Caenorhabditis elegans: one gene and its partner. The protein of the gene in region 1 interacts with the protein of each later gene in a pairwise test. Each region holds a gene or a part of one and is shown in the gene's direction. Other genes may lie near its edges.

Region 1 (3,755 bases):
TTGCTGATCAAGACCACCAACATCGGCATACGTTTCTTGTGGTGCTTTTTCGAGCTTCATGACAGACACCATAGGATCTGTATCATCGGAGAGAACTCCGATGACGGCGTGATTCTTGTGGTTGAGAAGGACTGAACATCCCGGCTCGAGTTGTTCCTTGTCGACGAATGACATGATGTTGACGTAATGCTCACTTCCGACGTTCTAAATATTGAAATAAGAAAATATTATCGATATATTGATTCTTACAGTTGAAACAATGGCGTGCTGATCATCGATAATTTCCTCAAGTGATCCGACTGCCATTGGTGTTCCACGGAGCTCGTCCACCTTGGCGCGCTCTTCTTCTTGTCTCTCCTCTTGTGGCTTCAAACGCTCCTGGTTTTGAATGAATTCTTGCTCCATCAACAAATAATCCTTGATTCTTTCGCTCTTCAGCAACTTCAGACGGCATCTGGCATGTGGTGTGACTAAAACCGAATCATCAGTTAAAATACACACTAGATTGAAACTTACCAGCTGGAAGTTTGCTAGCGGCGTCAGGTCCCTTAGACCCCTTCTTCTTCTTTCCAATCCTAGATGGAATCGGTGCCTCATATTTCTTCTTTTCCTTCTTCTCTCCATCTCCGGCACCGCGGTCATTTCCTCTTCCACCGAAACCTGACTGTTGTTGCCCCATTCTAGAAAATAATGATTTTATATGAAAAATAATAAGTCCACGTTTGAAAAAGAAAACAATTGAAAGATATAAAATAAGTAGAACGAAGAATGATTTAAAAAAATACAGCGTTGATGATGACAATGCAAGCGCGCTCTGGTGAGAACTAAACAACGCGCGGTTTCGTATTTTCGGAGCTTCGTTGTTTTTATTGACGAAGCCACATGTCTGTTTTATTCAGAAAATCTAATTTTTCAATTGATTTTTAAGTATTTTCAGCGTTTTAAAGTTTGCAAACGATTGTTCATACTCTTGTTTTCAGTAAACATGATGCAATACATGCTTCTCTTCAGTCGCCAGGGCAAACTGCGGCTGCAGAAATGGTACACTGCTTACCCCGACAAGGTAAGTGTATTTCCTATTCATATGTGTAATTTCACACTCAATTTTCAGCAAAAGAAGAAAATTTGCCGCGAACTCATCACTCAAATTCTGGCGAGAAAACCGAAAATGTGTGCGTTCCTCGAATACAAGGATTTGAAAGTTGTCTACAAACGGTTCGTATTTTATATTCAAAAGTAACAACTCCCATTTCCTGTCATGCCTTAAAATTGTTCCTTCTGAAAATAACTTACAAGTTTATAATCAAAATTTCTTGAAAATTATAGTTACACACCTAAATCCGAAGTTATTACGTTTTTTATTCATGAAAAATATTTTGGCGTCAAATTTAGTTGTTTAATAGACATTTTTGTGATAAATGAAACAAAAACTTAACAATTCGTTCAATTTTTAATCTCAACAATTTCAGATACGCGTCTCTGTATTTCTGCTGCGCCATCGAACAAAACGACAACGAGCTCATCACTTTGGAAGTCATTCATCGTTACGTAGAACTCCTCGACAAATATTTTGGAAGTGTTTGTGAGCTGGATATCATCTTCAACTTCGAAAAAGCTTACTTCATACTCGACGAATTTTTACTGGCTGGTGAAATCCAGGAAACCAGTAAAAAACAAGTTTTGAAGGCGATTGCTGCCCAAGATCTCATTCAAGAAGAAGAAACTCCACAAGGATTCTTCGAGGATCACGGTTTGGGATAATGAAGATAATAGTAACATAATTTATTGACTTTGAAAGCTTCCGTAAATACCAAATACTTCCACCTTACTTTATTTATCCTGGCTATGTGTCTGGTTGTGATAATATTCATGTGAATAAGAGAAGAAAACATTCATTTTTCAATCTTCCATTATGTATTCTTTCTGTTAGGAAACTTCAATGCATGACTTGCATTATTTCTACACTTTTTTCAATTTTTTCTTTAAAGTTTTGAACTTTCTCAGGTTTCGAAGCGGATGATTATCACAACTCCGAGACGAGGTGAGCTAATGTGAATTTTGCCGAGTTTCCCGCACATGAGTGTAAAACACGAACAGGGGAAAGGTGGATTCAAGGATAATTCAACGGGGGGTAATATGCGAACGTTGGCAGTGTAACATGTCAGTTCGAACGGAATGAATGTAGGAATGATTGGCACCTCTGCCGGAATTGTCATTTGTTAGATTACAAAGCACAATGTTCACCTTCTTGTTGGTGTCGAATTTCAAAATATCATTTATCTGAAATTTCGATAAGTATGATTAAACTAGTCAAAATTGTTTCGATCACTTCCGTTTTCTCAAAGTTTAATCATTTTCGTACAGTAGATGTTTGTGTCCTCTTCATGTTTTCTGCCCAATACTTCTTCCTCTTCCCATCCACTATACTTTGCATTGTTTTTGGTTTTACATTGAACAAGGGCAGTGAAGGCGGAGACAGCGGGAAATGTTTCCGCGCGGATTCACTCATTCTCTCAAGTATCCATCAATTTGCTCCAGCACACACTTGTTCTTTCACCTAGTTTTTGAGTCGTAGTTAATTTTTGATCTAAAATCTTGGCAGAAAGCAGAAGTACGCATCACATTATTTGAATAAGTATTCGCATTTTCAATATTCGCAGTCCATGAGACCCTAGAAATCATAAACAAACCTCGCTATTTTTTTCAGTCTTGAAAATCAGCCAAAGAGTTGGTTCGAAATAACGCTTCCCAGTTGCTTTTAACTTTAGGAAAGAACGATTTCAAGTAATAACAATAAATGTATATAATTCAACGGAACTCCATTTTTCACTTGGTAGATTTAAATTAGCTTTACGTGGTGCATTAAAAATAATCACATGTTGAAAATCGATAATAGTTTTTCCTAATAGCAATGTACAAGTAATTGGTTTTTGTGGGTACGCAGAACTAAACCAGGTTTTGTTCTCGCAAGTTGCGACGAAAGTGTGAATGTTGGCACCCTGCCGTGTTCACTTCTTGTTTCCCGCCAAACGACTTGCAATTTGAGGTCGTACTCTTACTGGCAAACCTTTATTTTGCAATTGATGACAGAACCAAGCATATTTGCAATTACTATAATTCCAGTTCAAAATCGTAACCTTTTTTTTTTAGTTTTTTGGAAGTTTTCACACCTATCAATACTCTAAAAACAGATTAGACACTTAATTTTGCTACACAGCTGCCCAGATGGTGCAACCAGTAAAAGGTGCGAACAGACTGAAACAGTCTTCCTATTGCATATACTTCCCGGAAACGTGACGGTGCCCTCATTTCCTAGTCAGAATACGTCTATTAACCAACGTCAATTATTTATCGTCATATGTGTTCTTCTGCAACGTTATTGTGCACACAATATTGCGCTGAATAAAATAGACGTAATCCTCTCTCTATGTATCTATAAGATCAGATTAGTTGTGTGGGAACCTTTATCGAGATACCATCTCTTTTTCTTTCAGTTTTTACACTGTCTTTTTTTGTCTGTTGTTCCTCATGAAAGTATCGTCTAATCCACCTTTTCCTCTTTCATTCGGGGCATTAACTTCGACACCTAAATCGAACGAGACTATCCATTTTCATTTACTCAAAGTCAATCCCAATTCTACACAAATGCCTCCCACTTTTGTGGTAAATCGTATCTGACAGTTTTCACAGGAAGCCATTCCACGAAACTGGTACTGTACCACATAGTCATCTTTAATTTGTGTCACGTAACATGA
Region 2 (3,755 bases), on another chromosome or scaffold:
CGCTTAAAATGAACATTTTGAGATAAAACTTCACATTAACTTTGTCTTTAACTTTGAAAACATTTTGAAACAGAAACAATTTTAATCCTAAATTTTTTTCAAATTTCCCACCAAAAAGTGCCTTCTCTTACACTTTTCCCACTGGGATCCTCAGCGGCTCCCTCCAAATCGCGGCTCATCAATCTTGCTCAAAAAAAATTTATTTGCACCCACCAATTGTCTACCACCTCCGATGGGAGACGGGTGCTTTGATTAATAATTATGATATTTTTGGTTTGGCTTTTTTTGGTTTTACTGTTCTTTTCGAAAATAGAAGTTTTGGAGCATTTTTATATTTTCCATGAATCTCGCTATTAAAAAAAAGACAATTTTGGAAAAAAAATTTGCCGTTTCAAAAGTAACATATAAACAAATAAATTTTTTAACTTGCAGTATGGTGTTTACTTGAGTAATTAGATTTGTTTCCATCCTAAACTTTCTTCCACGTGGCATATTACGTTGAATTCTTACAGAATAATTAAAATTATTATTAAAAATTTGAAAAAAATGACTTTTGGATGAAAATGTTTGACTTTTCCCAAAATTTCATCTGCATTTTTGTAATATTACTCGGTTTACTAACAGTTCTTCATAATTTACGGTTTTTTTTTCAAAAAATGATATTTTTTAAAAAAAGCTTTTTTTTGAAATTTTTCTACGAAAATTCCGAAATTGTGCAGAAAATCGTCAAATTCGTTTTCAAAATTTTTCAATTAATTTAGGAATTTTTGATTGTTAGAAAGTTTCTCAATGAAAGTTTTAAAGAATTACCAATTTTTGAATGTGAGCTGTACTCAATGTAGAAGCAAATTTTACGATAATAAATGGATAACTTGAAACATTATTTTTCAAAAAAATTTCTACAACTGCTGAAAAGTTAATTTCTTAAGAGGAAAATGTATTATCTTCGTCGCATAACGTTTTTTGTTGCTAGAAATCCGGAATACGCGTTGATTTCTGGAAAAAATTGTGGAGTTTTTTGCATTTTCGAAAAAACAAATTTCACCGTTTCAGAAATGTCTTAAATCGTTTTGTTTTCAATTGAAAAACGCTTCGATTTTGAGAAAACTGGCCGTTTCAAGAATTATTCAAAAATCGGTCTGTTTTGTTCTCTACTCTACTGACAAGTACTGTTTCAGAATGTTCACAAAAAAAGCTAATTTTATAATAAAACTAATTGTACTACGATGCAGTAAATATATATTTTTCGTATGAAAATTCTCACTTCACTCAAAAATTGATTAAAATTGTCATAATTAATTTTGAGATTTCTATTAAAACTGCTAATTCAAGGTTTTAACAGAATTCTCCATAGAATACTAAAATTTACAATTATTCCTGAATGCATATCAAAATGTTATTTTTTCTATTCGGAACTAGATCACGTAATTGTTCGTGAAATTTTTGCAAAATAAATCGAAAATGTGAATAGGTGAAATTTTGTTTTAAAAAAAAATTTTGAAAAAAATTCACTTTTTCACATAGTACTCATAAGCACTGTTATAAAACCATATCTGATGTCTCATTGTTAACATTTTCTCTCAACTCTCCGTCCACTTTTTAAATAATCAATAATTCCTCCTCAAAATCCCAACATTTTACAGATGATCTCCTCGGGGTGGATGCAAGAAATGGAGCCCATACCAGAGGAGGGAACCGAGGCGGATGGCTCCGAGTGGGGAGCTATGTCGGATACCGCTAAAAGGACGATGCGAAAGAAGGAGGTGTACACTTCGGAACAGATTAATACGCTAGTTAGGTTAGTTTTTTTTTTTGGAATTTTTATTTTTGGGAGGGGTTTGAAAGAGATCTCAAAGTTTGAATTAATTTTGAAATTGAAAAAAAAAGTTTTGCAGTTTCTGGTTCTTGAGAAGTAGTACAAGGAAATAGAAAAGCACTTATTTTTGAAATCGAACTTCAAAACCAGAAATGAAAAATTGATCAAAAACTAACTTAAAAATTGGGCATAGAACATATTTATTTGAAGAAAATTAAATTTTCAGCCAACAAAATGTTCTAAAGTTTCAAGTTCCTTAGATATCACTGAAAATATCTAAGCTCTTTTTGACATCAAAGAAAAACAGATAAGTTTTTATTATATATGATCTCGATTTTTTTCTCTGAATAATCTCACACATTCAAATTGATACTCTTAAAATTAAAAAAAAACAAAAGAAATAACTGATTGCGTATTAAAAAAATAGTTAAAATTCCGAAACTAGAAATTAAGTTTAAAAATTAAAAAAAAAACTGTTTCTAGTTCTTAAGATATAACTGCTCCAAAATAGAAGGGCAGTCTCATAGGGTCTCGTTGACAAGCTGAAACGAAAGTAGTGTATTTTTTCAAAAACGAACTAATTCTGCATAACAACAGCAAATCTCGGCTTTTAGCTAAAAAATCTAACACTTATTTTTACTTTTTCTAGTTTCCCAAATAAAACCTTTAATTTTCCATTAAATATTGATTTAAGTGCCTGTCCTTTCTAGTAGTACTGCATAGCTTACGATCTTCTCTTTAAAATATTTATGAAAATCCAAAATATTCAAAGCAATAATACAGAAAGTGTTTTGTTCTACAATTTGGTATCAACTTTTTTCTACTGTTTTTACACCTTAAGATAAAACTGCTCTGAATTGAGTGACATTCTCGCTCTTGAACAAAACGCAGAGAAATCAACCACTTTTTGACCGTTGTTCCACCACTTTTTGTAAAACAAATTACTGGTTAAAAGTTGCCTATTTCAAAATTTTCTTTCTGAAAAGTAGTAAAATATTTCGTTAAAAAATAGAAAATCGGAGTTTGTCAAGGAAAAAATTTTGGAAACTTTTTTCCGACTGTTTCTATTGCTTAACATATTAGTTCTCGAAAATAAAAAGGCAGTCGGAAACCAGATATATTTTGAAAGTTGATAATTTCTCTAAAAGCAACCTAATTCTGCATAAAGTCGGTATTCTAAAATTCTCGACTGCGAAAAATAAATTTCTACTGTTTCAAATTGTTTAGATAAAACTACTTAAATTGATTAAAGATAGTGCCATTAATTCATCCGATATTCCCATCTCACCTCTCTTTAATTCCCTCCAAAAAAGCCGTTTCAAAACCCTAACCGCCGCCAAATACAAACAGTCCGTCCTATTTTTTCCGTTTTTGCATCGGATTAGTGTTGTGTCTTCCGTCTCTCCAAATCCCACACTATCTCTCAGCCAGGTCTACAAAATGTTTATTATTGTCATTAATATTCGTTTCGGCTATGTTTTATTGGTATATCATTGGATTGGAACGACGACGCTAGTGGTCATTTATTGCAACTTTTGAGTTGCGGCAAAACTTTAGAAATTGAAAAAAATAGTTTCGGTTTCAAGGGTTTATACTTTTTTCCGAACATTTTTGGTTATCAGATCCAAAAATAGTTAAATCTAATTTTTGTTTGACAATGTATATGCAACTGAAACTGCAAAACCAAGTTAAAAATTTTTTAATGTAACCAGCCTACCATAAATAAGAATAAATTGAACATTTGAATGTTTTAATAGCAGTTTTTATTTAAGTGTATTCCAAGTTAATTTTCTTCAAAATTTGCAAAAAAAATGTTTGCTTAATGAAAGTTTTATCGAGGCCACTTTATTTTGGCAAAAAAAACTATTTCAATATGTTTTTTAACGACTTGCAAGTTAAACTCATATTATTGTTACTTAACCTTTGAAATAAATTTGAC

Evidence for each region. Proteins that work in one complex are often made in the same cells at the same time.
Region 2: the proteins of picc-1 (region 1) and jac-1 interact in binary tests that used the Caenorhabditis elegans proteins (3 or more experiments, as listed by UniProt).

What each region holds. Positions count from the first base shown.
Region 1 is NC_003283.11:6,016,990-6,020,744, forward strand, and holds the start of picc-1 (PAC-1 interacting and coiled-coil domain-containing protein 1), read left to right. Parts: upstream 1-2,004; 5' UTR 2,005-2,016; coding exon 2,017-2,041; intron 2,042-3,755. Other genes in the region: rpt-2 (putative 26S proteasome regulatory subunit 4), read right to left, coding at 1-204, 250-470, 517-679; aps-1 (AP complex subunit sigma), read left to right, coding at 986-1,063, 1,112-1,215, 1,470-1,761. UniProt on the Caenorhabditis elegans protein: Linker protein which helps to recruit the Rho GTPase-activating protein, pac-1, to adherens junctions.
Region 2 is NC_003282.8:16,024,736-16,028,490, reverse strand, and holds the start of jac-1 (Fibronectin type-III domain-containing protein), read left to right. Parts: upstream 1-1,643; coding exon 1,644-1,798; intron 1,799-1,937; exon of another isoform or gene 1,938-1,962; intron 1,963-2,058; exon of another isoform or gene 2,059-2,079; intron 2,080-2,102; exon of another isoform or gene 2,103-2,123; intron 2,124-2,335; exon of another isoform or gene 2,336-2,356; intron 2,357-2,501; exon of another isoform or gene 2,502-2,522; intron 2,523-2,684; exon of another isoform or gene 2,685-2,711; intron 2,712-2,862; exon of another isoform or gene 2,863-2,883; intron 2,884-2,920; exon of another isoform or gene 2,921-2,941; intron 2,942-3,069; exon of another isoform or gene 3,070-3,093; intron 3,094-3,439; exon of another isoform or gene 3,440-3,460; intron 3,461-3,723; exon of another isoform or gene 3,724-3,747; intron 3,748-3,755. UniProt on the Caenorhabditis elegans protein: May act as a positive modulator of hmr-1 function during epidermal morphogenesis. Required for proper localization of other junctional components, such as pac-1.